Linked DNA regions of Drosophila melanogaster. The protein of the gene in region 1 interacts with the protein of each later gene in a pairwise test. Each region holds a gene or a part of one and is shown on either strand. Other genes may lie near its edges. The genes, in order: ktub, stg1 and wdn.

Evidence for each region.
Region 2: the proteins of ktub (region 1) and stg1 interact in a two-hybrid assay, tested with the Drosophila melanogaster proteins (one large-scale study listed by BioGRID).
Region 3: the proteins of ktub (region 1) and wdn interact in a two-hybrid assay, tested with the Drosophila melanogaster proteins (one large-scale study listed by BioGRID).

Annotation. Positions count from the first base shown.
Region 1 is NT_033778.4:21,099,580-21,104,626, reverse strand, and holds the start of ktub (king tubby), read right to left. Parts: upstream 2,700-5,047; 5' UTR 2,052-2,699; coding exon 2,010-2,051; intron 1-2,009. Other genes in the region: CG34396 (uncharacterized protein), read right to left, coding at 3,376-4,412, 4,562-4,719, 4,783-5,047. UniProt on the Drosophila melanogaster protein: Functions in regulating protein trafficking, retinal maintenance and lipid storage. Protects photoreceptor cells R1 to R6 against light-induced retinal degeneration by stimulating norpA-mediated endocytosis of the rhodopsin ninaE (Rh1).
Region 2 is NC_004354.4:21,091,317-21,096,363, reverse strand, and holds the start of stg1 (stargazin-like protein), read right to left. Parts: upstream 2,521-5,047; 5' UTR 2,380-2,520; coding exon 1,679-2,379; intron 685-1,678; exon of another isoform or gene 663-684; coding exon of another isoform or gene 464-662; intron 1-463.
Region 3 is NT_033777.3:28,809,180-28,814,226, forward strand, and holds the start of wdn (wings down), read right to left. Parts: upstream 2,159-5,047; 5' UTR 1,907-2,158; coding exon 891-1,906; intron 831-890; coding exon 1-830. Other genes in the region: Prp39 (pre-mRNA processing factor 39), read left to right, coding at 2,936-2,975, 3,216-3,307, 3,526-4,372, 4,439-4,635, 4,702-4,827. UniProt on the Drosophila melanogaster protein: May belong to a complex set of multifingered proteins which play an important role in gene activation or regulation at early embryonic stages through a maximal accumulation of their transcripts (or protein product) in the mature oocyte.

The DNA.
Region 1 (5,047 bases):
CTTTTTCTTAATGCTAAAAACAGCAGTTGGAAGTACACCGAATAAACTTTGTTCATTTGATCAAAAGAAAGTTATATATGGTCAGTTAGATGGCGGGTCTCTTTTCTGCTTGAGCTCTACTCTAGTCAAATCATATTTTTTAATCACTTCTCAAGCTTTAAAGGTTCACCCTAATCTACGCAAGTAACTTATTAGAAAAAGTCGGTGCGTCACATCCTTTTTTTTTGGCCGAAATGTTTCTTTTTACGACTTGCGTGAGGAAAAGCTTGAGCGATTTGCGGAAAGCAAATATTATATTCATATGTGGAAGTAGTGAACAATTGTGTGACTTATTGCTGGGCATTATCCTGCGGCTCAGTTCCTCGCGAAGCTGAAGGACTCGTCACCAGGCGGGAATCGATTTTGTGGCCTCGCTTAATGGTATTCCATGGGTGATGGCAATACGAAAACAATGCCAACGAATGGTATTGTGTATATTTCTAGTTGCGCTGTCTGTCTGTGTTCCTATGGGGATACTATAGAATCCTGTCTGCCTGGACATATCTGTGTGTGTGTGTGTGTGGGTAGTTGCCCATAGTGACGCAGGACACCAATCAAAGAAAGGATACTACATTGTGGGTTAGCTGGCGTCCAGGCCGAAGACTTTATTAATCCTTTGTGTATATTTAGCGACCACTTTATGAGTTGACTGCCATATATCTTTCTGTTGATTTATGCCAAGTGCAAATTGACTCCGTTTTTTTGTGCCACATTCTCTTTTTTATGGCGGATATAACTTTGTGTTGGCTTAAGCTCGAGAAAATGACCCAAAACGATTGTTCGGAAGGATTAATGTTCTATGCTAACACGTTCAAAGAAAATTAGCTTGACTCAGCAAGTGAATATTTATCATATTTATACTCGCATTTGAAAATGAATGTGATAAAGCAAACATTATTCAAACAAGCTGCTTTAAAATGGTAATCACGAAATGTGTTAATTCATGGGAATTTGTGAGATGATTCAATGTGAATTTATAATTAAAATTAAAATTCAATCAAAATGAAATGCGCTCCCATGGCTTCCACTTATTTTCGATTTCTTTCAAGCTATTTCATTTGTAGCTGAAATGACTTGGCATAATGTTTTCAAAATGTCCTCCCATTCGAAGAAGCTGTCAATAGCTGCTCAATGTTTTATAAGCCATAGCGGCACGAAATCGAAGTAACTCGAAGGACCCAGGACCTCCCACACTTGGCAGCCCAACTCAACCACATCGAAGTGATTCGATTTATGAGCCAGTGGGTGGAGTAGGGTGCCTTTTGGTTCCGTGCCACTCAACATAATTAGGGCCAATGACAATCGAATCGGACTGCAGCAACTGCACCACCACCAGGAGCTTCGTTTCGATTTATTTGGACGCCGTTGCCAGGACAACGGACGAACACCTGGCCACGAGCAAACGGGCACAACAAAACCACTTGGAGAAGGCGTTAAGCCACTTGGGTGTTTCATTTTCCTTTTTTTTTTGTTGCCTTTAAGGGGTGGCACATTTAGAGCGGTCAACTTTGAGGCCAAAAAGTGAACAATTCCGTGTAATGCCGGCTGATGGCCCCTTTTCTGCTGGCGCTGATTGCTATGGGCTGCCCGAGTTTTCCAAGAAAGGAGTGGATTTTCTTGTTTCTAGACCACATTCACGAACCGTCGGGCTGGAAGAGTTAAAAGGCCAGTGCTAACTTGCCTTGATTCATGGTCAATTGAAAAAAAGTTCTTAAAGAATTCTTAGCTAAAGCAAAAGTTTAATACAAGTAGCCATTAAATTGTTCATAAATTTCGCTGTCGTATGTATAGATTGGTTTTGTTATAATATAGGATCGTTGGTTTAATGTGTCCACTTTATGAAGATTATCAAACACAATGGATATGAATGACACATTTAAAGAAATTCAAATTTCAGAGATTACATTATCAAAGATTATAGGTTTGGTAAAATCTAGAAAAGATCTGCCAAATTGGAGTGTTGGGTTTACCTGCTGTTCCATTTTCTGATTACGACTGTTGATTCCGGACATTTTTGCAGTTATGGCTGTAGATTTCAGAAGGCAATCAAAATCCTCTGACGATTTTCACTTAACTACGCGCGATTCAGATGATCCGATGAAGAGGCATTTGGCAAATATTCGGGAGTGACAGCTGTTTTGGGATTTGCGTTGAAGAGCGACTTTTCGAATGCGAATGAATGCAGCAAAACAAAAACCGATGGGGCACCAAAATAATTGAAGAAGAATCTATGAATTTAGCACACCTGGCGTCAGTTTGTATGGTATGGTATATATTTTGTAGTTTGTGGTAGTGTAGTACGGCAGCACACGCGACAACAAAAAAATCAAGGGGTGTTCACGAGGGTGAGGATTTGTAGACTGAAGCCAACAGCCGGCTCTTCCTGTTCTCGCTCAATTTTTTTTGTACCGACGCGATCGATCGGAATTCTCCGGATCGCTGGCACTGAATGTTTGCTTTAGCCACTGAGCGAGTACCGCCTGAATATGCATATATTTATAATGTTATACAATCTATGTTGTTTGACAAACACTTTCGTGCCCGTTGAGTTGCGTGTGATATTGTCCAATTGATTGAATTTGGCGCCTCTTTATTTTGGTAGAGGAGAGAAGGCGATGTAACCCGTCGACCGAACCGCACGCTGCCAAAACAACAACTGGGCGTCCAACAGAAGCCGTCAACTCAGGCGAAGTGCTCGTAGCGGAACGGAATGGAAACGGAACATGCACACGAATGCCAGCCGAAGCAGGAGTGCGAAGCATGCCATCCTGTCGTGTGTCAGCGAAAGAGAGGCAGAGAGAACCACAACTCGCTCTCAATGGGAATGGGTCTCTCCCTCTCTCCCTCTCTCTCTCTCTCTCCGCACAACGCCTCCTGTGGCTGCTTCCTCTTCCATTTCCTACGAGCGACAGATGTGCAGCTGCCGACTGCGACTGCATTTGGATTCGCGCCCCCGACTCCCTGTTACTGGGATTTTGGGATGCATTCCCGTACAAAGCATACGCATCTGGCAATTCGATTCCGGATTGAGCAAAAAACCACGCTGATAACAGGATAATAGAGTGTTGAAAAATTATACAACTTTATGATTATGATCCTTAAGCGGAATTTACAACAATTAAAAACATCAATTTGCGTTGTCAACTCGCGCGCTTTATTTCATTAACATTAGACTTATGCTACGATGATGGTGAGTAAAATTAAATAACAAATAAATGAATATAGAGTTTCGCGTTACGGTAAATTCGATTGAAATTGCCTTGTCATTTTTGAGGTTTCTTACACGTTAACTTTGTCGGTTTTTTTTTTGTTTGGAGGCGGAAGATCCCAGGGATTCTAGAAAAACCTGTGCTTTTTCTTCTTCTTGTTCTCCCCCTCCGCCGGCGGCTGGGGATCCACGGAAACCTGACGCCTGGGCAGCAGAGGTGGCGGAGTAACATCCCCAGCTCCAACAGCATCGGCTCCAACTCCATTAGCATCCACTCCATTGGACGCCGGCGATAGAGGACGCGGTGCGCGCAGGATCGAGGTGAGTGGTGGCACCGGGGAGTGGCCATTGCCATTCGCCTCCTGGCCATCCTCCTCGATCCTGTCCAGTCGCGAACCGTGCACCGAGGCAAGCTCGGAGGGAGTCTTCACCTGGGAGCCGCCCTCATCACCAAGCTCGCTGGTCATGTTCATGCCAATGGTGGCGCCCACTTTGGCGCTGGCCATTTTGAAGTGATCGCTCAGCTTGATCTGCACCACATTGATGAACATGGAGGTCAGGGCCAAGCCGAACATCAGATAGATCATGCTGACCATTACGTAGAAGGGATTACTGGGCACCAGGTCGCCGAACCCAATTGTGGACATCGAGATGAACACGTAGTAGAAGGCATCCAGTGGAGTCCAGCTGGGCTCCATCATTAGAAAGCCGAAGGATCCTAGGAGGATGTACGTAATGAGCAGCAGCGAGGCCACCGACACTGGCAAATTGAACTCGTCGTCCACCTCGAAGGTCTCTGGATAGGGTGATGTGGGTGTCTCCGGGTGCGAGGTGCCCACCGATCTTGCGGCCTCGGCATCCGCCTGCGACTCCTCATCGTTCTCTGGCGCAGAGTTGCTGAAGAACATGCTCGGCCTGCGGATGGCCATGTCGTACATCGTATTGAAGCCTGTCATGGCGCTCCGGATCTGCTGCTGCTTTCGTATCCGGCGGCAGGAGCGCGTGTAGTACATCCGTCGCACATACACCCACAGGAACTTGACGCAGCGCGTGAATAACTTGCCCAGATCGGCCAGCACGATCAGGAACATGGGGATGCCGATGATGGCATAGACGATGGTCAGGGATCGACCCATGCCCGTCTTTGGAGTGATGTGGCCGTAACCTGGAAAGGAAGAGAAGAAGGCATGGGAGTTAATAAGTTAAATATGACTAACTAAAAAAAGAACCTAAAATGGAAATATGCTCATATATAAGAACTAACGAAAGGATTTAGGAGTTTTGGATGGTTATGGGTCCATTGTAACCCATTACCTATAGTTGTGATCACGGTCCAACAGAAGATGAAGCAATTGACAAAGTTCCAGGACTTTTGGCCCGGATAGCGGCGTAGTCCCAACTCGGCTAAATTATTTAGTTCATCCTCGAAGCTGCGCAGCTTCTGGCGGGCAAGAGACTTCCAGTCCTCCTCTCTGGCAAAGATACAAATGAATCACTCACAGAACTGGGCTACCACTTGGCACCATTGGTACTACCTCATGTTGTGGCTGACGTCCCACAGTCGGTCTATGAAATCCCGCTTCACCTTGCGCACCTCGCACTTGTATATATTCTCCGCTGCTCCTTCCGTGTACCGGAACAGGAGTCCTCCGAATCCCAGAAGCATAGCCATGCAGATGAGATAGGCAATGCACCTGTTGCGTAGCTGACGCAGTTCCTTCACCTTTTGGGGATAGTCCAGCTTGAGGCGTTTCCATTCATGCCGGGCTTCTAGGCTGAAACTGTACAGCAGACCCCTGG
Region 2 (5,047 bases), on another chromosome or scaffold:
ATCAGGACTCTGAGGCGGCGTATCGATCACCTTGCCACAGTTATAGAGTAGCCAGTTGCGTACATTGTACTCTTTATGTTTGGGATCATTGTCCTGATAAAACTTAAAATTTGGCTTGTTGTTGCTAAACAAACCAAATTTTTCTGCACTGGCCTTCAAATTTGTTTTTCAATTGTTTCTGAGATCGAGACGTTCTGACAGACGGACGGACTGATGGATAGACAGGCGGAATATGGTCGGAAAGCTGTTACACAGTTTTCAACGAATCTAGTATATCCTTATACGAATATTATGTAAATTCTTTTCAGATTCGGATGGGGAAATACCCAAATGATCAAAAATAAATGATACGCTATGGTGGTGCTATTGATTTTTTCGAAACTGTATATTTGGGTTCTGTACTGTATTTGGGTTCCGAAATATGTACGTTTCATTAATATCGCTCATTCTTCTATCTTTTCAGTCGGGCCATGTACAAGCACCAACGCGAGACTGGTCACCACAATTGGCCACACAACTGCAGCAAGTGTGGCCAGGTCTTTCGCACATCAGGCTTTATGCGCATGCACTCCGTGAATCCCTGTGAGCGAAACTTACACAAGTTTAAAATAACTAAGCCAAATGAATTGCAGCAACTTGGCAAAAAACCAAAGCCGGAATGAATCTGTTTGTATACAGCGAAGCATTAATTTAACATTAATTTACCATTAATTTAGCATTAATTTAGCATTAATTTACCTTTAATTTACCATTAATTTACTTAATACGAAATAAAGAATGTCATAATGGTAAAAATCTAGATTTTTGTTTTGTGTACTTTTGTGCGAAATAGTTTGCGAACAAATTAAATCCACTTTGCAGTGATTTGTGTCGCTAACACAATTATTTGTCAAGCTACAAGGATGAAGGAGCCGCATGGAGGTCTGGATGTCCTGGTGGCTCCTGTAACAAGGACGAGCTGCCATTTGCCAGCTGCGAAGCACGTGAAACCAGTTTCCTCAGTTTCTTTAAAAATGTATAGAATGGGCGGAAATTGTGTGTGTGCGTCCTCTGTAGGAATTCAAGCTGCTGGCATTCAGCAGGCTGTTTCGCCATCCGTTTAAAGGATTCGACTATTTAGTTCCTTCTCTGAAGGAATTTTGAGTATTTCCCTTTGCGAAAAATCTGAGACCTTGCTACCTTGAAGCTTAAAGTAGTACTCAAAGTCGTCGCTTAATAAAAAAAAGGAGCATCTACATATCGAGGTAGTAGTCAAGTATATTAACTGGAACCAGCCTCAAACCTAAAGAAATGAGTACAAATATAACTTGGTTTCCCACTTTGTTCATTTGGGGCATAGTAAAATCATGGAGAAACGTTAAAGTTGCCAACCGCAGACTCAAACTCAGGTTTTAAGGCAAGCAAATTATAATTAAAAACCTTCATAAGTGGATTATTTTACGTTTGCCTAGTACTAGTATGGTGTATAAACAATTTAGTATTAAAAAGAGATAAGACATTTTGTGGAACATAATTTCCAATTTTAAATAGGCGAGTACAATTAACAATAATTTCAAATTGAAGGATATTCCGAACTACAGTGATTAGTACAGTCCATCGCTTTTTTAAATTCATATTTGCCTCATATTCGTTTCCTCAAACTAATGTATTCATGATTGATCTATGATCGCATACTAACCTGGCTGCAACAGGTGTGATGAGCCACAGGTAACCCCCGTTGACGGTGGTCATGTTGCTGATGCCTCCCTGCGGATCGGTAGCACCAGCACCGCCGCTGGCCAGGCGCTCTTGCTGCTGCTGCCGCTGGACATGTTGCTGCTGCGTCTGTTGATGTTGCTGCGTCTGCTGCACCTCTATGGCTGGCTGGTGGCGACTCAAATGAGGGACCAGTCGCTGCTGCTGCTGCTGCTGCTGCTGCTGCTGCTGTCGTCGGTTGTTGCTGATGCTGTTGTGATTGCTTCTGCTGTTGCTGCTGTGATTACCGATGTTGTTCAACTGAAGATCACTAAAGCTGCCGGCCAGGGAACTAAATCCCGTGGCCGGAATGCTGCCAGAGATCGTGTTGATTACACCGGCTTGCTGATGCTGCTGCGGCGCGAGTCGCTGGCCCCGCGGCAATGTTGCATAGGGCGAGTGTTGCTGGTGGTGGTGCTGCTGCTGGTGGTGCAGCAACTGTTGCTGCTGGTGCTGCGCCTGCTGCGATGGGTGGCTGTGCTCGATGGATGCACTAGTGGTCAGCTGGTGTATGGCAATCGGCGGCCTTTCGGTGGTGTTGCAGATTACATTCGCTGGTCGAATGTTATTGTACGGATTCTCGCTGTTGATGCTGTGCGTGGAGGCCACGCGAAACACATTGGGCACCGAAGGATAATCCCTCATTTTATATTCCACTAGCTGCACTGAGCCAGAACGAACAAAAAAAAAAAAAAACAAAACAAAACTAAAATAAATCCAACACTTTGAAAGCGCGCCAAAAGTTGGTTTGTTTTCGAATTTCTGGCTGGGCACGTCCGTTGCGCTGGAGAACTTTCACTCGACTAAGGGAAGCTGTGGTCCTGGCCAAAGGACTCGACTCGGCCATGTAAAACGAACCGAAACGAATAACTTCGGCTGCTGCGGATGATGATTTTGCTGCCTCTGCTGCTGCTGCTGCTGCTGCTCACTGGCGATTATAAAACACAGGAGCCATATTTTATCTACGCTTTTGATGGTCTCCATCCAGCAGCAATCCACGCCTGATACCCATCACCAATCCTATGATTCGCCGCTTCCTTGGCAGACCTAAATATAGCGGCTATGACCAATGGAAAATTAACTTTTACATTTGCACAGCTGGAAAATCCCAGGTATCAGGCGTTTCAGCTGCGGCCTGTAGAGTTCGTATCAATTATTCTGAATACGAAAATTACACACATTATGTGGCCAACAGGCGTGCACTGAAAGAAAAGCCTTGATTTCTATAACTGTGCATAAGATTATGAATAAAATTCATAAAAATCAATTGGGTTTTTTTTATAACTAATACAAATTCAAAAGAGTAATTCCTTATCGTAAGCGTTACGCACGGAGTCGTCGAGGATCGTTTCGTCAGTTAACCGCGCATTTTGAATACAAATTCTTTAGGTTTTAAAGTTTACGAGTTCTCAACGTTCATTTATAGGGCCGAAAGCGCTTCTTCTACATGTTTTCTAACTGTAATTAAGTAGTATTATATTTTCCATTTGATTGTACATAGGTCATTGTTCGCTGTGCAGTCCAACGGCAACCAGGAGTAGTAATAACAACAACCAGCAGACGTTTGCAACTTCCGTTGTAAGCTAAAAGTGACTTCCGGTCGCTTGGGGATCCCCACTATCTGTCTGTGCGCGTGCAAGTGTATGTGTATGTGTATGTGTATGCGCTTGTGTGTGTGTGTGTGTGTGTGTGTGTGGATATGGGATATAGTTTGCCGAGTTGTTGTTGCACTCGCCTGCAAATCTAAGCATTTATTGCAACCCCGGCTTCTTTGGCTGCAACTCTCGTTTATTTAATTGAATTCCCACATGCGATTGAGGTAAGTTCGTGCCATGATTGTGCCCCATTAAAAGGGTAGGGCCAACAATGGTCCGCCCACACTACGCCAACCGAAATACCAAGCCACCCACCCCCCCCCCCTCCCAAAAATCCAGCCCACGTTCACACTCGTTTTTGCTCTAAAGCACCTTGTTAAGTGCACCTTGTGAAAGTGTGGAATTGCTGAGTGCAGGCCCAGGAATGGTGCAGAACAAAACCCAAAGATTAAGCTGCCAAATCCACACTGGAAGAAAAAAGGGTCGCTTTTGTTTGTGCTCACACAGTGGCACGAATGGTAATATTCGTGTATTGCTGGTTAATAAACATATAACAAAATTATCAATTGCAAATCGTATGTTTTTTCTAAAAATCTAGTTTAACAGCTTTAATAAGCATTTGTAGAATTGTAGAATCTTCTTCTGTGCACTTCCTCATCACTGCTCTTTCTTCAGCAGTCCTTAGCGAAACCTTAGTGCATATGCAAGGATATGGAAAGGGTATTTCATCAAAATTGAATTGGACTGTAGTGAAGAGTATGCATGTGGGAGCAGCATGTAATCCGGCAAATGGAAAACAAAAGCCGACGATTATTGCCGGAGTGCTTATCCTGATCAAAAAGCGCAAAAGCCAAGGACAAAGGCAATTAAGCCAACTGGCAGGAGGTGTTTGATGTGAATAGAGATTGAAGAGACAAGAGCGCCAAAAGAGAATTCAACTGGTAATGCAAAAAACAAACGCAAAAAACCTTTAATTAAATATACTAGTATTGGCCGTGAGTAAATAGCCTCAAGTATTTGCTCACCATTTTTGTTTGGCTAGCAAACAAATTAATTAAAATCTTAATTAAATCTCATTCTGGCAGCAAACAAGGATGTGCTAGCTATTTTGATGCCAACAAGTTGCTGGACGCGCCTTTAATTTGCCATCGAATTAAGCCCTCGACCCTCTCTATTTCAGCATTTAAATACATAGAGTAACTTTTTTGCAACTTTCGCAAAAGTTTTCATCTAAATGCGCTGCAAATGCTGGCAACACTTTTCTCGTCTCTCGTTTTCTTTATTTACTCATTTTTTTGTTTTTTTTTTTTTGCTTTTTTTTAACAAGAGAGGACTAACAAAATGTTTGCATTTTTGTTTGTGTTGTGCCTTTTGGCAGTTTGCTTTGTCTTTTTTTTCTCTTTTATTTATTTTGTTGCATTAATTTGTTGTTATTTTGTTGCTGTTGCAACTGTCAAATGTTTGCCAATGCACACAGACACAGACGCGTCCACGTTGCTAGTCCTGCTTGGAGTTATGCAAATGCTCGAGAGTATGTGAGTGTGTGTTTTCGAGAGTGCTAATGTGTGCGTGGGTGGCTAATTTAATTCATTTTTATGCATTCATATTGCCGCTGTCTTTCTTAATTTTTTCAGCACTTTTTTCAGCAATTTTTCCCATGTCTAGAGAAAACAAGAAATGCTCGAGAAGGATCTTTTTTTGTTGGGATGTCCTTCATA
Region 3 (5,047 bases), on another chromosome or scaffold:
CCGGCGGGGCCAGCGGCACCAGCACAGTGGTAAGTTCCTGCTGATGCTGTTGCGCCAGCGGCACAGGATGCACTTGCTGCAGAGCAGTACCGGCAGGTAGAGTTATTCCCAATGCAGCAAGAGTGGCCTGCTGCGGCTGCTTCTTTTTCCGCGCTTGTTTTGCAGGAGCCGGTGCAGCAGTAGACGTAAGATTAGCCTTGGCTTTAAGTTCACTAGAAGCGGAGAGTTCGTTGGGATTCACAGCTGAAGATGCTGCCGCCGCTGCTGCTGCTGCCGCGGCTGCCTTTTGGGCCTTGTTTGTAGTGGACTTTTTAGAGCAGTAGGAGGGAATGTTCTCGAGGTGTTCGCCCGTTTTGTGGTCCACCTTGTGTCGGCGTCTCGTGTGCTTCAACCAATTGGGGAAGTTGGTGAAGTCTCGCGGACAATAATTGCATTTGAACGGGCGCATTCCTGTGTGTATGTTGGAGTGCTGCTTAAGCTTCGAATTGCTGATGAAGCTCTTGTCGCACACTGTGCACGCGAATGGTCGCTGCTCAAGATGCACCAAGTTGTGGACCTTGAGACAGCGCTCCGTTTTGTACATCTTGCCGCACTTTTCGCAACGATAGGAACGCGTTTGCGCATGGTACTTCTGGTGGCGCTGCAGATGTGAGCGCTCCTGGAATCGCTTCTGACACTCGGGACACTCGTACGGCTTCTCCGATGAGTGAATCCGTGCGTGGTGCGTGAGGTTTATTTTTTGCACAAACTTTTGGCCGCAGATGTCGCACTGGTACTTCTTGTTATCGCTGTGAATCTTCCGATGCATCCACATGCTTCCCAATTTGAGGCTAAAGTTAGAGTAAAATGGTCAATAGGAATAACTATTTTTAGTTTGCAGTAACACTTACCACTTGCCGCAGTCAGGACACTTCTTCCAGGTGTCCTTGCGGCCCTCGGTGCGGTGCGTCTTTAGGTGCTTCTTCAAACCAGCCAACAACTCGAATTCCCGCTGGCACTCGCTGCAACGATAGGTGAGCCTCAGCCTGTGAGCGGCCGCCTCATGCTTGGCCACCTCATCGGGCGTCTCCAGCAGCAGTCCGTTGCAGTCGAGACACTTGTGTAGAGGTGCCGGGTCCACCTCCAACGGCTTCGTTTCCGAAGCAGCCGGAGGCGGCATGCTAGCCGCATCCGCCACCGATTCAGCCGATTTGGCCTGCTGGAATATGGTAAACGATGGCGGCAGCAGCTCAGACTCGCACACCTCTACCTTGGTGACCACTTGCTCCGGCGGATGCTTCTCCTCGGGCGGCTCCTCCTTAAAGACCTTCAGACGCACCGCCGTCGCCGCCGGCAGCTTTGGCTTGCGTTGCAGCAGCTGAGACTGGGGCATTTGGAGCTGATGCTGCTGGTGGAGCTGCTCGGGCGATAGCTTTACGGGTGTGGAGGTGCCGCTGGACGAAGTCTTCTTAAACGGGGAATTAGTGAAAGCATTCGGGGGCTCGGGCCGCAGGAAAGTCACACTAAACTCCGAGCTGGAGTGGTTATCACTGGTCAGAGTGCTGGGCACGGTTGACGAGCTGGTGGCAGCCAAGTCATCGCGGCAGACGTCCGAGGATAGATTCAGCTCGGTGTTGTTCTGGGCACTCTCGTCCAAAACGCGCCAAAAGTCGGTGGAGGAGAGACTGTTACCATTGACCAGGCTGGCGGAGCTGATGGTCACGCACGCCGACAGATCGATGTCCAGCGACTCGTCCTTGATGCTCGATATCGAGTCGAAGTTGTTGATCCGCAGCAGAGAGCTGAGTATCTCGTCGTGGGCCGCCTTCGTGGGGGTGCCCGCATCGCCGCCGTAGATTTTAGGCGGCAACTTCTTGCTTGGCGCCTCCTCTTTCATTCTCTTGCCCTCGCCCTTGCCGCCTTCCATTCGCCTTGCCTTGCTTACACGTACAGGTTATGCGGTCGGCGTTTTCGCTCGCCGTATTTTGTCTTTGTTCGCCGCGCCGCTGACGCTTTGCGTTCACTGGTCGCCGTTGCCCGGTCACTGGGTCCCCAATTCACTCATCGCGATCGCTTTCGTTGTATTAAACGCGCCGCAATTGATCGAAAAACATTTAATTATTGTGAAATGCGCCTTGGCTTTGTTGTTTTTGTCACGCTTACAATTCTCGAGTCGCCATTTTGAGAACAGTGTTAGAAGACGCGCACGAGTGGCAGTCCCGCTAAGAGTGATGCTCGCCAGGCGGGTTATTAGCTATATTTAATTCACGACTGGATTCACCATTCTAAATAACATTTAAAGAGATTTCTTGACTCAAAAAGAAATCTTGTCCGACAAGGAAACATTTTACTTACCAATTCCATTTACATGTTTGTATTTACTTGATATAATTCACGATTATGTTGTATAGAAACTATAACAATTTTTTGGGCTTTTAAAATCCTATGCATTGAACATTCAAACCCTAAATATTAAAGGAAGTAGGCCCAATGATTGTGTTATTTGTTTATGTTTTTTATGTTAACTTAATAACCCACTAATTTATAATATGTGTAACATTAAACAAATTTTATCTTCTTTCATTAAGAATTATTTATGGTGATATTTAAAGTCCTCTTACCATAAAATATTTAAATTATATTTCTAGCTGGAACATGTAATTTCTGCTAGAATTTGTATGTTGAGATAGGTTCTGCATGCGCACGCCAAAAAATGAACTAGTTCGCCGAACTGGAAAAACACTGAGCACTTAGGCTATTTTCGTTATTAAATTATATTTTTTGATAGATTGTATATAATTCATTCATCAATGCTAAAAAATGATAAATATCGAAATTCGAAAAACCTCTGAAAAATATTCAAAATATAGCTATGAGTCAGTCGTCAGTCTTGACCAAACAAAGAGATATCGATATTGGCGGGACATGTATATCGATACCACGTTGCAATGTTAATATGGCGTCAGAGGGCGAAAACGTTGTTATGGAAAGTCCAGGTAAATTGATGAAAAATTACAAATACGTGCATTCCTTCGACCGGACCTAGTGACCGTTGATTAAAAATTCAGTCCTTACTAGCCCATTTCGGTAGCTGACACTGACAGTTAGCTGGAGCAGCCCATTAAAGCATTTGGAAAAAAGTGAACATCACGAGGCAGCGAACAACCCACAACACCGCGCGTACAGTTTATGTAAACCGCATGGATTAACCAAGAAAGTTAATTGACGTTTTCCAGGTCGCCGCACACGTTCTGGTCGGAAGGCCGCATCCCCGGCTGCATCGCTGCCAACCAGAAGCACCCGGCGCACATCCAAGCGGAACGTACAGGTCAGTTCATCCCACGTAGTTACCGCCTCTTCCAGATCATCAGCCAATGATGTAAACGATTGCAATTTCCAGTGTGGGTGTGGCGTTGTTCCATCCGCACATGATTCTTCTCCCTGGAGGAGCGAGTGATTACCTGCAAGGGCCAACTGAAGGCACAGCATCCACAAATGCTCTGAGAAATGCCGGGAACCTTCATTAACGACTTTTAATCCTTTCAGCTAAGTGACCACGAAGAGGAGGCCGAAGAGCAAGTGGTCATGGTTCAGGAAGAGGAGGAGCCCTTTAGAGGGACAAACACTGCGGAGGCACCTGCTTTGGAGCCCCAATTCGAGGAGACTCAGCACCAGATAGAGGATGACGTGGAAATGCTGCCAGCCGAAGCTGCTGGGGTTGATGAAAAGAGCTCTTCCTTCCCGTTTGGCACGGTGGCGGAGCTGCATTCAGAGACTAGTGATGATATTAAAGAGACACGCGGTCAGGCTGGCGTGGACACCCTACTGGCTTCTTTAGCCGGCGATAATGCCAACAGCCTGCCCTCCGTGGGTGGAAATGACGAGAGTGACAATGTCAAGAAGGCGGACTTTGAGTACAATGTAGACTCCCTGCAGCCGCAGATGGAGAAAATGAATTCCTCTGAGGACTCCAGCTCACAACATGCCATTGCCGAGGATCTGGCCGATGCGGACACCAGCAATGCAACCATTGTCAACACAGAGATAGTCTCCGAGGATGAGCTACCTCTGCCCAGCAAGCCTGAAATAAATGATGCCGAGGAAGTTTCCGATGAAGAGCTTCCAGCACCGCAGCGGGCTGAATTGCCAGAGGATGCTGAAGTAATCTCGGAGGATGAACTGCCCGCCAGTAATAACAATAACACCGCCACTGAGCCCAAGGCACCTTTGAAGCGCAAGGCGGAAAACGAAAGCGTTAAGAGCACCGAAGATAAGGATGCAAGCAGTCATGAATCAAGCACAAAGGATAAATCCTCCGAGCAATATAATCCGGGCAGTCCCACATCTGAGAGCAACGACGCACAGCCCTCAGAGAAAAAACTCAAGGTCGAAGGTAATTGTTAATCTTCCAATGACTAATTAGTTGGTAGAGCTTGACTCACAATATTTAAACCCACAGAATCGGAGCCCAAGGAGAAAAAGAAGGAAAAGGAGCGCGATAAAGATAAGGAGAAGGATAAGGACAAAGATAATAATAAGGATAAGGAAAAGGAGCGAAAGAAGCTGCCGGACCTAGATAAGTACTGGAGAGCTGTCAAAGAAGACTCCACCGACTTCACCGGCTGGACGTACTTGCTGCAATATGTTGACAATGAGGTGGTTATTTAGCCGAACGCCGCATATCTTGAACTTTAAATAAGCAATTTTCTTCTTTCTCAACAGTCTGATGCGGAGGCGGCGCGCGAGGCCTACGACACATTCCTGTCCCACTATCCTTACTGCTACGGATATTGGCGCAAGTATGCCGACTACGAGAAGCGCAAGGGCATCAAGGCAAACTGCTATAAGGTGAGTACCCCACTTACATTTGGTCGTGCAAATAAATATCTTTCGCAATTTCTTGTACTACGCTTACAATTACGATTACAATTGATATTCATATATTTGTTGTTAAATGCAATTTATTATGACCTAATAAAAATACTACATTCAATAAATGCAACATCTACCAAAATACACCAAATTGAGAAGACAAAACCAAACTTGCCATGAGACTAGTGCAGCATCC